2 linked regions of the Lonchura striata genome follow. The protein of the gene in region 2 purifies or fractionates together with the protein of the main gene of each other region. This does not show direct contact. Links are inferred from orthologs where the notes say so. Each region holds a gene or a part of one and is shown on either strand. Other genes may lie near its edges.

What was found. The genes of interacting proteins can lie anywhere in the genome.
Region 1: the proteins of CAPZB (region 2) and PPP1CA purify together in Homo sapiens (affinity purification with mass spectrometry; 3 studies listed by BioGRID and IntAct, with this or other methods). This does not show direct contact. The link is inferred for Lonchura striata from reciprocal best matches to the Homo sapiens genes CAPZB and PPP1CA.

Annotation. Positions count from the first base shown.
Region 1 is NC_134608.1:53,829,329-53,837,032, forward strand, and holds PPP1CA (serine/threonine-protein phosphatase PP1-alpha catalytic subunit), read left to right. Parts: upstream 1-4,633; coding exon 4,634-4,688; intron 4,689-5,173; coding exon 5,174-5,305; intron 5,306-5,389; coding exon 5,390-5,620; intron 5,621-5,825; coding exon 5,826-5,930; intron 5,931-6,017; coding exon 6,018-6,241; intron 6,242-6,680; coding exon 6,681-6,815; intron 6,816-6,937; coding exon 6,938-7,048; 3' UTR 7,049-7,119; downstream 7,120-7,704. Other genes in the region: CARNS1 (carnosine synthase 1), read right to left, coding at 153-242, 608-870, 1,023-1,300, 2,437-2,530, 2,691-2,784, 2,891-3,337, 4,530-4,635; cell cycle checkpoint control protein RAD9A, read right to left, coding at 7,351-7,449, 7,522-7,704. UniProt on the Homo sapiens protein: Protein phosphatase that associates with over 200 regulatory proteins to form highly specific holoenzymes which dephosphorylate hundreds of biological targets.
Region 2 is NC_134626.1:7,422,558-7,429,533, forward strand, and holds the start of CAPZB (F-actin-capping protein subunit beta), read right to left. Parts: upstream 3,081-6,976; 5' UTR 2,967-3,080; coding exon 2,964-2,966; intron 1-2,963. UniProt on the Homo sapiens protein: F-actin-capping proteins bind in a Ca(2+)-independent manner to the fast growing ends of actin filaments (barbed end) thereby blocking the exchange of subunits at these ends.

The sequences.
Region 1 (7,704 bases), on a different chromosome or scaffold from region 2:
GGATTAACGGGACGCGGGGGGCTGCTGCCACCCTCCTCCCCTGCCTCAGTTTCCCTCACAGTTCTGGTCAGGCAGCACAGGCGGGTGTGGGGATCCCTGCTGTTGGCTCAGGGGTGTCTCATGTAGGGTGAGGACAAGAGGACCACACCCACCTGGGCAGCGGGTGCCACCCTCCAGCAGGACAGGCAGGAAGGGGGTGGGGGAGCCCAGGATGCAAACGGTCATGTCCAGCGGGCCATATCCTGCCAGGAAGGGAAGGGTTAACAGCCCCGGGATCGGGACCCTGGCACCCCAGTGTGGCTGGGAACCCCAAAACTCCTCGTGTCCCTAGCCTGGCACCATATCCCCATTGCCACCCTTATCCCTGCCACCCCATTATCCCAGCCTGGCACTGCGCCCACATCACTGTCCCTGCCACCCCCGTGTCCCAACCTGGCACTGCGCCCACATCGCTGTCCCTGCCAGCCCCGTGTCCCAGCCTGGCACCGAGCCCACATCACTGTCCCTGCCACCCCCGTGTCCCAGCCTGGCACCATTCCCCCATCCCCACCCCAGTCCCTGCCACCCCCGTGTCCCAGCCTGGCACCGTGCCCCCCGTGTCCCCAACCCGTGCGGGGCTCCGCGGAGCAGTCCAGCGTGGGGGGCAGCCCCTCCTGGCACAGGGCGCTCTGGAGCCGCTCGTAGGCGTGGGTGGCACAGTCGGGGTCCCCACTGTCCCCGGGCACTTCGCCATCGGGGGCTTCGTCCTCCAGCCAGCCTGGGCACAGCGCCTCGGGCCCTGCCCACTCCTGCTCCTCCGGGCTGGGCACCCGCTCCGTGCTCGGCTGGGACGTCGAGAGCTGCGGGAGCAGGGACAGGGCTGGCACGGGGCTGGCACGGGGGTAAGGGGGTGGTATGGGGCTGGCGTGGGGTTAAGGGGCTGGCACGGGTCTGGCACGGAGCTGGCACGGGGACAGACCCCGTGTGGGCACGGGGCGTACACGGGGGGGCTGACACAGGACACAGCGGGCGCCGCTGCCCACCCGTGGGGTGGGGGCGTCGGGGTGCTGGGGGGCTGCAGGCGCCGGGCACGGCGCCACCACCTCGGGGACAACGGGGCAGTGCCAGCCGCCGGGGCCGCCAGCTCCCGGACAAAGCGTCCCCTTGTCCCCGCGGGGTCACGCGGCGGGTGGGCACAGCACGCTGCGCTGCCCGCTGCCCCACGCCAGTGCCCGGCACCGCCGGGATCCCGGGATGGGGCATCCACCTCCGCCCGGACCCCCCCACCCGGGGGCCACTCACCATCCTGGTGACAGAGGGGCTGCAAGAGAAGGACAGGCAGAGTCAGCGCGGCTCCCTGGGGACTTGCCACCCCTCCCTGGCCGCCCCCGGCCGGTGCTGGGAGCCCCAAGCCCAGCTCCCGTGGAGAGACCTGTCCTGCAGCACCCACCAGAGCCTGGCACCCTTCCTGGGGCACACCTCGGTGCCAGCTCCGCTGTCTTCATGTTGTCCCCTCAGCGCTAGTCTCAGTGTCCCCGCACTGACCCCTCGGTGCCAGTCCCTGTGGCCCCAGCTCGTCCCCTCTTTGACAGGTCTGGTGGCCCCAGATTGACCCCTTGGTGCCAGTCACGGTGGCCTCAGGTTGTTCCCTCGGTGCCAGCCCCGGTGGCCCCGGCACCTCCGGCTTAGTGTAATCCCGTGCCAGCTCAGCACAGCCGGGGGCACCTCCCCATCCCGGGGGTGCCAAGGTGCCCTGGGGGTGCAGACCCAGGGACCGGTTGTCCCCACCCCCCTGGTGCCTTCGCTCCCAGCAGGTGCCCGGCAGAGCTGGGCACAGAGGGAAACTGAGGCACGGAGCTGAGCGGTGCCCGCTGGCAGCCAGGATATCCCCAAGCCTGGCACCCGGTGACAGCGTTAGGGGACACACGGCTCGGTGGCGTGGCACAAGGGCCCCCCAAAACCCAGTCACGGGGGTCCCTCAAGGTCCGCGCCCCCCCAGCCGCGGGACCGCGCTGTCCCCCTCCATCCCCAGCTGGGAGGTGCTGCTGCTGTCCCCAAGCTGGGACAGCTGTGTCGCCCGGTACCTTGGGGTGGGAGCCGTGGCCTGAGAGCTCGCAGGGGACGAGGGCTCGGGGACGCCTGGCACAGGGGACGCCGGCCGGTCTGGCCTTTAAACCCCCCCGCGCCACCCCGGGGTGCCAACCCCCGGCCCCGTGCCCCGGATTAGGCGACACAGAGCCTCATTGTCCCCTCTGCCACCTCGCGCCAGGCGCTGGCACCCCTGTCCGTGTCCCTGTCCCCGTCAGTAGCGAGCTGCCTCAGCGGGAGCCGGGGGGAGGATCAGCCTGGCCGGGCTCTCCTGTCCCCCTGTCCCGCGTCCCCTGGCTGGGCACGCCCCTCGTCCTCCCCCCCGCCCTGTCCCCCTGTCCCCAGCGTGGCGGAGCTGCCAGCACGCACGTCCCCCGGCTTAGTTCCAGCTGCCCGCGGCGTCACTGTCACTGTCACCGTCACGGCCACCGGCAGGCACGGGGCCACCAGCGCGGCTGCCGTGCTGCAGAGTCCTGCACGCGCTGTCACCCGCTGCCTGCCACCCGCGCCACCCCCTGCACCCTGCCACCCTCATTGTCACCTGAACTGTCACGTGCGCCCTGTCACACACAACCCACCACGCACCGTCACCTGCACCACCACCAGGGTCTTGTCACCCGCACCTGTCACACACCTCGTCACCCACACGGCGACACCGCACCATCGCCGGCACCTTGTCACCTGCATCTGTCACCCGCCACTTGTCACTCATATCACCTACCTGTCACCCGCACTGCCACCCAGACCCCATAACCCGCACCATGTCACCGCACCGTCACCTGCACCCTGTCACCCTCACCGTGTCGTGAACATCATCACCCACCTGTCACCTGCGCTGTCACCGGCACCGTGTCGCAGGTGTGCACACGCACCCCGACCCCCATCCCGCTGCTCCCGCCCCCCGGCACCGGCACCCCCAAGCCCACCCAGATCACCCCCGCTGCCTTCAGCACCCACCGGTGCCGGTGCCGGTGTCTGTCGGTGCCGGTCTGTCCTGGTGTTGTCGCACCCGGCAGTGGAGCGGCTCTGCTCGCTCCGGTCCCGGCGGTGTCGGGGTCTGGTGGGGTTTCCCGGTGTCGGTCCCGGTGCTGTCGCAGCCCCAGCAGCGGCTCTGCCCGCTCCGGTCCCGGCGGTGGCGGCGGTGCCGTGTCCTGCTCGGGCGGGGCGGGGCGGGGCGGGACCGGGGGCACCGGGGGGACCGGGACACCGAAGGGGGTGGCAGAACAAAGGGGGCAGCGGAGGTGAGGGTGGCGGAACCGGGGTGCCACCGCTGGGAGACGGGGACAAGGGACTCGGGTAGGGAGTGGGACAAGGGACGGGGATAGGGACGGGGGTAGGGGACAAGCGTCCGGAGGCAGGGACGGGGCCAGCCCGGGGTCACCCGGGGCCGGGTGTAAAACTGACACCGCGAAGCAGAAATGTCAGGGCAGGTCCCGGGAGCTATTCGCGACCTCCCCGCACGACATGGAATGGGACGCGGGGAATGGCATGGCGTGGCACGGCGTGGCACCCTGGGAATGGCACCCAGGGAATGGCACGGCGTGGCAAGGCATGGCACAGCCAGTGTGGACAAGGGACAGCCATGACCCCATCCCTGCCACTGCCACCGTCCACGAGCGGTGGCACAAATGTGTCACCCTCCCCCGTGTCCCCGGTGGGGACACGCCCTTCGGGGTGTCCCCGGGGACCTCAGCGTGGCGACAATCTCCCGGCAACCGCCCGGTGCTGCTCCCGACGGTGTCCCCAGAGTCCCCGGGTGGGGATATCCCTGGGCTCTACCAAGCATCCTGTCCCCTCGTGTCCTCCCGGGTCCCCAGGCTGTCCCTGCGCGCCCAGGACCGGGATACAGATCCTCGGTTCCCTCTGTGTCCCCTCCTGTCCCTCGCAGTCCCGGGAACCTCTGTCTATCCTGAGGCTGTTCCCCTCCCACTCCCTCCCTATCCCTGTGCCCCCAGGCCAGGATACGAGTCCATGTCCCCCGTGTCCCCTTGCCCGAGCTCTATCCCTTGCCCGGCGTGTCCGCCTGCCCGGGTTGTAGAGAACAACGCAGGATGTCGCCTTTCCCAGGATGTCCCCTTTCCCAGGACGTCCTCCGCTCCAGGGAAGTCCTTCAGCCCGGCACGTTCTCCTTTCCAGCGAAGGCTCTCTGCCCGCGGTGTCCCCCTTGCCCGGGAATATCCCGTTGCCGCGGTGTCCCCTTTCCCAGGACATGTCCCTCTGCCAGGGGTGTCCCTCTGCCCGGGGTGTCACGTTTTCCCTGCTCGGAATGTCCCCCTGCGGAGCGTGTCCCCGTGCCCCTGCGCCCCCGCCGCGGCTCGCTGCTGCCGGTGTCCCGCGGCTCGCTGCTGCCGGTGTCCCGCGGCTCGCTGCTGCCGGTGTCCCCGCGGCTCGCTGTTGCCGGTGTCCCGCGGCTCGCTGCTGCCCGTGTCCCCGCCGCGCCGTCCCCGTTTCCCCCGGGGCACCGGGGCCGGCCGGGCTGCAGCGACTCCTCCGGGCCGGCAGGGGGCGGGCGCGCGGCGGGGCCGCTGCGGGCGGGCGCGCGAGGCGGGGCGGCGCGCGGGCGGCCATGGCGGACACCGAGAAGCTCAACCTCGACTCCATCATCAGCCGCCTCCTGGAGGGTGAGCGGGCCCCCGCCGCCCCCCCGAGCGCCGGGACGCCCTCCCTCCGCTCCCGGAACCTCTCGCGGCCGGCTCGGGCCGCGTCCCAACGCCGCGGGGGGAGTCCCCGGCCCGGGCCTGGCGGGGGCGGGTTAGGCCGCGGTGGTTCGGGGGGGGGTCAGGGCTGGGAAAGGTTTTGGGGGGTTCCCATGGGGCCTGGGCAGCCGGAGATGAGTCCGGGGGATGTGGGGGATATGAGGCGGGATACCGAATGGGTTTGTGCCCCGCGGGAGGGGGCTGGGGGAAATGGGGGGTTCCCAAAGGGTCTGTGCCCCGCGGAGGGGCACTGGGGGGCCCCGAAGGGTCTGGGGGCTGGAGCTGAGCCTGCAGGGCGTGGGGGATACGGGCAGGGAGGGCTGGGGCAGCTGGAGAAGGGGTTCCCGGGGTGCTGTAGGTGTCCCCGAGCCCTTGGAGATCCCTGATCCTGTTCTCTGTGCTGGGAGCAGTCCAAGGATCGCGGCCGGGGAAAAACGTGCAGCTGACAGAGAACGAGATCCGCGGGCTGTGCCTCAAATCCCGGGAGATCTTCCTGAGCCAGCCCATCCTGCTGGAGCTGGAGGCACCCCTCAAGATCTGCGGTGAGGCCTGCACGGCTGCTGGGCAGCACTGGGCTGGTGCGGGGGGCTGCAGGGTGCCACTCACAGCCTGTGTCCCCCCTCCAGGTGACATCCACGGGCAGTACTACGACCTCCTGAGGCTCTTTGAGTACGGGGGCTTCCCCCCTGAGAGCAATTACCTATTTTTGGGCGACTACGTGGACCGGGGCAAGCAGTCCCTGGAGACCATCTGCCTGCTGCTTGCCTATAAAATCAAGTACCCCGAGAACTTCTTCCTGCTGCGGGGCAACCACGAGTGTGCCAGCATCAACCGCATCTATGGCTTCTATGATGAGTGTGAGTGCCCGGGCTGTGCCCCCCAAAACCCCACTGCCATCCCTGGGCTCCCCCTTTCCCGGTGTCATCCCAGTGCTGTCCCACACTGACCCCACCTGTGACCTCCTTCCCTCCCCACCATGTCTTCCTGCCCTTCCTCGGTGTCCTCCTGCCCACCCCCAGGCTGTCCCCTGGGTCACCTCCAAGCCCCCTTTGTGCCCCGCAGGCAAGCGAAGATACAACATCAAGCTCTGGAAGACCTTCACCGACTGCTTCAATTGTTTGCCCATTGCTGCCATCGTGGATGAGAAGATCTTCTGCTGCCACGGAGGTGGGAATGGCCCTTCCCAGGGGCTTGGGAGGGCTGGAGGAGGGTTGGGGTCTCCTTGCTGAGCTCTGGGGTGCCCCTTTCCCGCAGGGCTGTCCCCAGACCTGCAGTCGATGGAGCAGATCCGGCGGATCATGCGGCCCACGGATGTCCCGGATCAGGGGCTGCTCTGTGACCTGCTCTGGTCCGACCCCGACAAGGACGTGCAGGGCTGGGGGGAGAACGACCGTGGGGTCTCCTTCACTTTCGGGGCCGAGGTGGTGGCCAAATTCCTGCACAAGCATGACCTGGATCTCATCTGCCGGGCGCACCAGGTACCACCGGGACCCCCAGACACTGGGGACATGGGGGTTTGGGTCTCCAGTGGGTGTCAGGTGGTTCTACCCCGAGTGTTTCCCCTTCAAGGGCAGTGTGCACCCCAGGAGTGTGTGGGTTGGAATTCTGGGGGTGTTTGTCCTGGGATTTGGGTATTTGCCTCAGCATTTGGGTGTTTGCTCTGATGTCAAACTATTTGCCCAGGGGGGATGAATAGTCACCCTGGGATGTGGCTGTTCCTCCCAGAGGCTGGATAATCGCTCTGGAGATGGATATTTGCCCTGGGGCAGTGGGTGTTTGTCCCAGTGCTGGCTGTTTGCTGCGGGGAAGGGAGCATTCACCTTGCTAGAGAGGGCTGGATTTCAGCCTGGGGGACTGGGAATACTGGGATAGTGGCCATGGGGGGTGGATTTTTGCCAACCCCGTGCCCCCCCCCAGGTGGTGGAGGATGGCTACGAGTTCTTCGCCAAGCGCCAGCTCGTCACCCTCTTCTCGGCCCCCAACTACTGCGGCGAGTTCGACAACGCCGGCGCCATGATGAGCGTGGATGAGACCCTCATGTGCTCTTTCCAGGTGAGCCCAGGGAGGGGAAACACCCCCAGTTCCTGCCGGGAGGGCTGCAGGGAGTTCTGCCCTCCAGGGCAGTGGAGAGCCGGGGTGGGAGCTCACTGATTTCTTTCCCCCTTCCCCCGCAGATTTTGAAGCCGGCCGACAAGAACAAAGGCAAATACGGGCAGTTCAGCGGGCTGAACCCCGCCGGACGGCCCGTCACCCCTCCCCGAAACTCTGCCAAAGCCAAGAAATGAGCTGGGAGCCGCCCCTGTGCTGCCCACGCCCCGCAGCCCCCCGCCCAAGCATCAGGTCGCTTTTCTTTCGACTCGTTTTTTTATTTGTAGGATCCTGCCCCCCTCCCGCCACGCTCCACCAAAGCAAATCCAGGCCCAGGGCAGGTAGAGCTGGGGCGAGGGGGGAGCCCAGAGCCCAGCCCTGGGGTGGCAGCAGAGGGGGGGGGCAGGAGGCTTTTTTGAGGAATAAACTTGTAATGGGTCACTGGGGGGTGCCTGTCCTGGTGGTTGGATGGAGGCTGGGGCTGGCAGTGACTCGGGGCTCAGCTTTCTCCATCGCTGTCCTCCGCCAGCACCTCCTGGGTGGTGGCCGGGCCAGGCCTCCCTGGTGTCATCACCGAGCCAAAAAACAGGGAGCGAAACTGTGGAGAAAAATGGAGGGTTCAGGAGGAGGCTCTGCCCACCCCCTGCCCCCAGGCACACCCATCCCTCACCCTTTTGTGCGGGGGGGTCCCTGGCACAGCTCCTTCCTCCTCCTCCTCCTCCTCCTCCTCCTCCTCCTCCTCAGGTTTGCTCTTGGCTGGCCGGGGGATGTGCAGGGAGAAGGTGGGGCTGGGGGGCCCCTCAGAGCACCCCTCGCTGGTTTCCATGGCAGCCATGTAGGACTCCAGGTCATC
Region 2 (6,976 bases):
CCTTCCAGATCAAACCATTCCATATTCTCTGATGTACCAACAGCACACTGGACCAGCAGAGCACTGGGGAGTGCTGGATGATGATGAGCAAACCGAGTTCCCCAGCCATCCTTCACCCAGGGAAGTCAAGGGATGGATGGAAAGCAAAGCTGACAGCTGTGCAAGTAGACATTGAGAAGGGCAGCATGGTCTCTTTCCCAAAGAAAGTAATTTCTCAACTCAACTCCAGTAATAAGGACTAAAAATAGGCCCCCAGAAGAGCTGAGCTGCACTTTCATTCTGTTTCACTCCCAGATGTGAATTAGTCTCATATCAGCATATATATTTACCATATGAGGAAATCCTGTTTGAACAACTTCAGCTTGTGAATGTTTTTGCCTCCCTAATAAACCACAAGATTAAGCATCACTGCAATGGCAGTATTCCCTCTCCCAGTGATATCCTCTGATTTGATTATTTTGGGAATTTGCCGTTTAAGATAACATTTAGTTAAGCTCACACACTTGGCTTGCCTAATAAAACACAGACTCTACAAAACAGCTGAAGTTGGTGTTTCTCAAAAGGAACAAGGTGCAAAGGACTTGCTGTGGGTACTGAAAACGTCCCCACACCTCCACAGCACATTTTGGAGGTCCAAGAGGGATACAGCCAGGTTAGAGATGGGTTCTGATTCCAGACAAACAACTCCTATCCTGAAAATCTTAGTGGACCCTGAGCAGCACACGAGGTGCGTGTTGGTGTCACTGTCACATCACACACCTTGGGCTGTGCTTCACTGCTCCATATCTGCCTCACAAATCCTAGATGGATGATGCACAGCCAGCACTACACTAGACAGCCTGAATTTATGGATGATTAAATCATAAATTTTGTTAAAATTGTCCTCCTTTTTCTCAAGAGTTGCATAGCAGAAGAAATCCTTGCTAACACGATCAGGCCAGTTTACATAACCTGGAAATGAAGGGTTTTATTTTTACAAAGAGTAACTGGATTCCATCCATTCACAACCCACAATTCCAGAAATCTCAGCAGATCCACTCTCCCAAGTCCTGCTTTGCCCTGAACAGAGCATTCCATTTATTTTTAGCACAGGAGACACCATCCATCCAGGCAGTTTTCAAGCTTCATGTGTTGCCCTGCCCTGTTTCCCTGAGCACCTGACTGAAATGTGGGCACAGCTCCGAGCTCTCCGAGGAGACCAAGGTTCCCAGCTCTGCTCTACACAGACATTGGTAGCCCTGTGGTACCATGAAGGTGTCTCACCCAATATCCTGCACCATACCAACTGCTCCCTTCAATGAAAGGGCCATTCCACCCTTTCAACGCTCCACTTCTGGTCTCAGACCATTAAAAGTAAAGATCCTGCAAGCACCCTACACGCTGGGTTTGCACATGAGTTGAAACTGGAGGCTGCAGGTTCATCCCTGAAGTCCACTCAACATTGGAAACCAGCACATAGTGTTGGAAGTTCTGATCCAATTTCTCCTATGCCCAGTGGTTTGCACAACTAAACATGAAAAAAAACAGAAAGCAGCAAAACCCGGTAACAGTCAGGAAATTTCCAAAGGATTTGTGCTGTACCTCCTCCAAACTACTGACACAGTTACATTTAAACCCTGACTGGATTTTCCTAACAGCACGTTTTATATCCCATTCAAAGAAGTTGGTACCACTGTTGTTACTTTCCATGAAGCCTCCTTGTTTTCTTTGAACTCTTTTCCTGTGACAATTTTTGCAGTGGCATAAGTTAGGACAGTTTGTTGGAATCCCAGTTTGAGACTCTACAGTCAGGTCTTGCACACACAGATTTCAGTGTGTTACAATTAGGTACACAGCTGGAATAAGATGCTCCATCCTGCCAGGACTCAGGTATGGCACCTGCTCTTGTTTGAACCAATAAGGAACAGAACTTTGGTCATAACTGTTCTTCACCTTTCACCTCACATTAAAGATCTTTATCCTGCATGATACAGGTGGCTCCAGCTCCAGAGAAAAAACATAAGGCATCGCCTCTGAAATTCCTATGGATGACGGCAAGAAGTAAAGGATTACACTCGTGTGGTTAAACAGACTTCACACTGCTGTAGAGCCAGGCTCTGGGTTGATCTTTTATGAACTAAACACATTCAAACATTGTTGAATTGTCATGTTGGAAAGCCTGAATCAGAAATCCCCAACAGCACAAAGTGATGTGATTCCCTACAAGTGACTCCATGGCTGAGGAGGCTCGGGAAGAGCCCCGGCCAGCAGGCAGGGAGCGGAGCAGGGCCTGGGCCCGCAGCTGGAGCGGCTCCCTTTGCACAGCACCAAAGTGGCACCGAAAGGGTTTGTGCCCCGGGCCAATCCGTTCGGGAAACACAGCGGGACGGAGATTATTCCACACGGCTGAGGCAAGTGGGGCTGGTCCGTGGGAAAGGCAAGTTCCCGGGCGTGCGGAGCAGCACCAGGGCTGCAGCAGCCGCTGCTCGGGCAGTGCCCGGCTCTCGGTGCCCCGCAGCGCTCCCGGTACCGCACGGGGGGAACAGCCGGCCTTCCTGCGGGGAGCCACGGCCGCCGGGCCCGCCGGGCAGCGCCCCCGGTACCGCTCCCCGCCGAAGCGGAACCGTTCCCTGGGTAATTCCACATCATTCCCTCTGCGAGCACCGCCCGGGACCGGCACCGGAGAGCTGGCAGTGACCGGGCAGCGGAGCCCCGGGGAGCCCCCCGCCCCCGGGCCCTGCGGTGCGCCGGGCAGAGCCTCCGCTAGCCTTAGCCCCCCCGCAGCAGCGCCCTCAGGCCGGGCCAGCCCTCCCCGCGTCCCGGCAGCACCGCCTGGGCCGCCCCTCCCTCCGTCCCCGCCGCCCGGGGGAGGCCGGGCGAGGCCCCCCGGTGCGAGGGGGCGGTGTGGGCGCGGGGGCTGCTGCGGGGGGGCCGTGCGGAAGGGCGGGGGCCGCGGCGGGGGCGCGGGGCCGGCCCGCTCTCACCATGTCGGCTGGGCGGGTGCGCGGGGCGGTAGAACGGCGGCGCCTCCCGGTCCGTCCCTGTCGCTTCGACGCCGCGGCCCGTCCGCTTCCGCCGCCGCCCGGCAGTGAACATCCGGGTCAGCGCCGCCGGCCCCGCCCCGCGCCGCTCCCCGCCAATCAGCGCGCGGCTCGCCGGCCATCGCCAAGTATGGATGCGCGGCGGCGGGGCGGGGGGGCGGGGCGGAGCGAACCACGCCACCGGCGCGGGGGGGACGGCGCGCACGGCGGCACCAACTGCGGCGCGGGGGTGAGCGCGGCGGCCAATCAGAGCGCGGGGGCCGGCCCGGGGCGGGGCCTGCGGGGGGCGCGCCCGCAGCGCGGGGCCGGCCCTCAGTCGGTCCCGGAGCCTCCGCGCGGGAACGTCGCTCCCTCGAGCGCCTTTAAACGCACTTGTTTTAGCTTTAAACGAAAGGCAGCACGAGGCAGGCGGGTAGCACGGCAGACGCCGCCCAGAAGAGGTAACGAGTAGCAAACTCGTAAAGCTGGGTTTTGCAAAGGTAAACTGCACTTTATGCATGCCTGTAAGGTACCAGGTCTAAAGTGATGTGGAAGAAGAAGCAGCCTCCAGCTGCTTAAGGCCAGGGATAATTATTAATTATTTATTATTTTAAAAGTAATCGTGAATTATTTTGAAAAGGAAGTGTTGGTGTTGGGAGGTACCTGCTGGAAGCCGTGCAGATGCTGACACACTGGAGGCCTTCAGGGCTCAGGCACTTGTGCCAGGGATAACGGGATCACAGAAAATCAGGGTATATCTACTAATAAAGCATTCCTGTTATACTCAGACTGTCTCAAAATAAAGCATTTGTTCCTTTTACTGGAGTAATTCCCATTGCAGGGATTTCAGGTAAGACATCCCAATTCCAGACTCCTGGCCTGTCCTCAATACGGGAATCTCAGAGCTACAGCAGACAATGATCCCAGGAAAATGTAAGGATTCGTTAGCACCAACAGCTTCCTCTGCAGCTTTTTATGGAATAGGTCAGGCCTTGTTTCACCCCAGTTTTATTACCAAGACCCCAAAAAACCTCCATTGGGACTCTGTACTGCAGACTTGGCCCTGGGGAGCCAAAAGCCTTTCCCTGGGTTTGCTGTAGGAGCTGGAAATGCCAACATGGGGTGAAAAAAGGGCTTTTTCCTTGGATGTCACAGACACAACAGTCACACAGGGCTTGTACCATGGATGTCACAGACTCTGCAGTCACGCAGGGCTTTTCCTGTGGATGTCACAGACAGCAGTCACACAAGGCTTTCCCTTGGATGTCACAGAGCTGTCACACAGGGCTTGTCCCGTGGATGTCACAGAGCTGTCACACAGGGCTTGTCCTGTGGATGTCACAGACTCTGCAGTCACACAGGGCTTGTCCTGTGGATGTCACAGACAGAGCAGTCACACAGGGTTTTCCCTTGGATGTCACAGAGCTGTCACACAGGGCTTGTCCCGTGGATGTCACAGACAGCAGTCACACAGGGCTTTTCCTGTGGATGTCACAGACACAGCAGTCACACAAGGCTTTCCCTTGGATGTCACAGAGCAGTCACACAGGGCTTGTCCTGTGGATGTCACAGACACAGCAGTCACACAGGGCTTGTCCTGTGGATGTCACAGACACAACAGTCACACAGGGCTTGTCCCGTGGATGTCACAGACACAACAGTCACACAGGGCTTGTCCTGTGGATGTCACAGACTCTGCAGTCACACAGGGCTTGTCCTGTGGATGTCACAGACAACCCCAATTTCCAGGGCAGTGAACAGCTTGGACGTGGATCGGGTTACAATAGCCAGAGACAAGACTGCACTACATGAATTTGCACCACAATGGAGCCCGTGCAGACAGAACAGCTCTCAGCGGTGGCAGAAACAAAATGAACCCGGAAGGGTGGAGAGAAAACAGTAGAACGATGTCAGGAGAAACAGGAACTGTATTCGTCCACAGAAACACAAAACCACATAAAACTCCATCAAGAGACAGTACCAAACAAACCCAAAGGTGGGAAATTACCCTTCCACATTTGGGAGAGAAGCCACATGACCTCAGAAGGCTCAAGAGACTCCAAATTCAGTTCTTTGCCACTATTCCTCAGCCTAACCTCCTTCAATCCGCTTTGTCAGATGGAGCAATCCCAAATGGCTCCTATTTTGCAGTTCCCAGATCCTCCTCCAGTCCTTGCATTTCCTCCCAGCTGCCTCCCAGCAGTAATTAAGAAAAGCAAACCTGTTCATTACAATGGCCAAATGATTCCATTTTTGTCCAGGGATCCACACATCTAATGCTCCTCAGGGCTGGGAGGCCAGAACTGATAAATTTGAAAATGTCTGTTCTAAAATTCCCTCTTTCTGTCACAAAATTCATGCAAAGTACTCAATGACAATTCTACTTGTAGCAGCTTTTAGTTTTGAACAGAAACAGCTCCTAGCTGCTTGCTGGAGCAGCACAGCAATAGCAGAATTAGGCAGCCCAGTATATTTCAAACAATTTGAGCTCTAAATGAATGTTGAGGCCAAGAGGATGTTTTTCTTAGCGGAAGAAATACAAGCATCCTGGATTTTGTTCTCCTGCAAATAGGTATAAAGAAGAATAAACAGCTGCTTTTTGTTTTCCCAAAAATATTTGCATTAAGAAGATCTGCAGATTCATTTTGAAATTGATGTCACATCTTTTTTCAAATGAGGACCAGCTGTTTGCTTTGGTTGTTTATAGCAGGCCATGTTTCAGGGATTTTTTGCTGTTTGTTTATTAAGATGTAGGACCAGACTGCTGCAGTTTGGTGTGGAGAGTGGATCCCAGCAGGCAGAAAGTCCATGAATGTCACCACCATCCCACTTGTGTTGGGATTTGTGGAGGGGTTGACACCAAATGCAGCAAAATCAGGGATATTCCATAATCCAAGTGCTGTGAGGTAGGTTCCCTGTGCCTCAGGCATTTCCCAAACCTGCAGGAATGGATCACCCACCTACAGGAAAGAACACTCCAAAGGGCTCGTGGCAGGAATAACCCCTCTCTAAAACAAGCATCTATAAACAAAGGAAGCAAACAATGATGTCAGTTGACATCTTAAGGGCCCAACAACATCAGATTCATGTGCAATTAATAACGAGTCTTTTGATCCTGCAATCAGCAGCTCTAAAATCCATGTGCTTTCCCTGTACATTTGATTACATTCGAGGAAGCAAAAGGATAAACACTTATTAGCATTACAAAGTACTTTTCACATTCAGCCAGAACTTCCTGAAGCATTTGTGATCCAGCACGATGTGGTTTTTATTTTATCCTCCTGCATGCGTGGTGAAACGCTATTTATTTGTTTATTCCAGCATTTATCCAGGACCAAGGGTGACTGTGAGAACATGCTGAGGAACAATGTCTGAGAGAAAACCTTCATGCTTCACTGAATAGTCATTTTTTGTCATAAAGAAAGAAACATCTTGATTTTTTTTTTTTTTTTTTTTTTTTTGTCAGATTGCCCATTTTCTTTCATGGCACTTGAAAGATATGTAAACTTTTATTGGGAGTTCTCATAAATTGAATTTATTGCTGCAAGAGTCTTCCAGCAATGGTAAAGTTTAGCTTGCTGGGTTTTATTAGTCAGAGTCAGTAAAACAGCAGCATCACTTGGTCTGAGGCTGAAAACCGAGTGTTTCTTGGAAACTAATATAGGAAAAAGGTACCTACAACACTACCCAATGTCTTGGAATTCTATGTTCAAACCACAGATAGTTCTCACTATGGAGATCTTGGTACACAGTGTCAAAATAGTACACAAACAATAAAAAGTCCCCATCCTGAATCCAAAGCAGCTTTGCTGAGTGTATTCTTGGAATTTAAAAATTTTTAGAGTTTCCCCATTTCCTGCATGAACTGATGAGTAATTCCAAATACCACGTTTAATGAAAAACAACATATCGCCCATTTAGTGTGAGGTTTGAGGCATTCCCCTCCCTGCACTAAGAATGTTGGACCAGACTTTTTT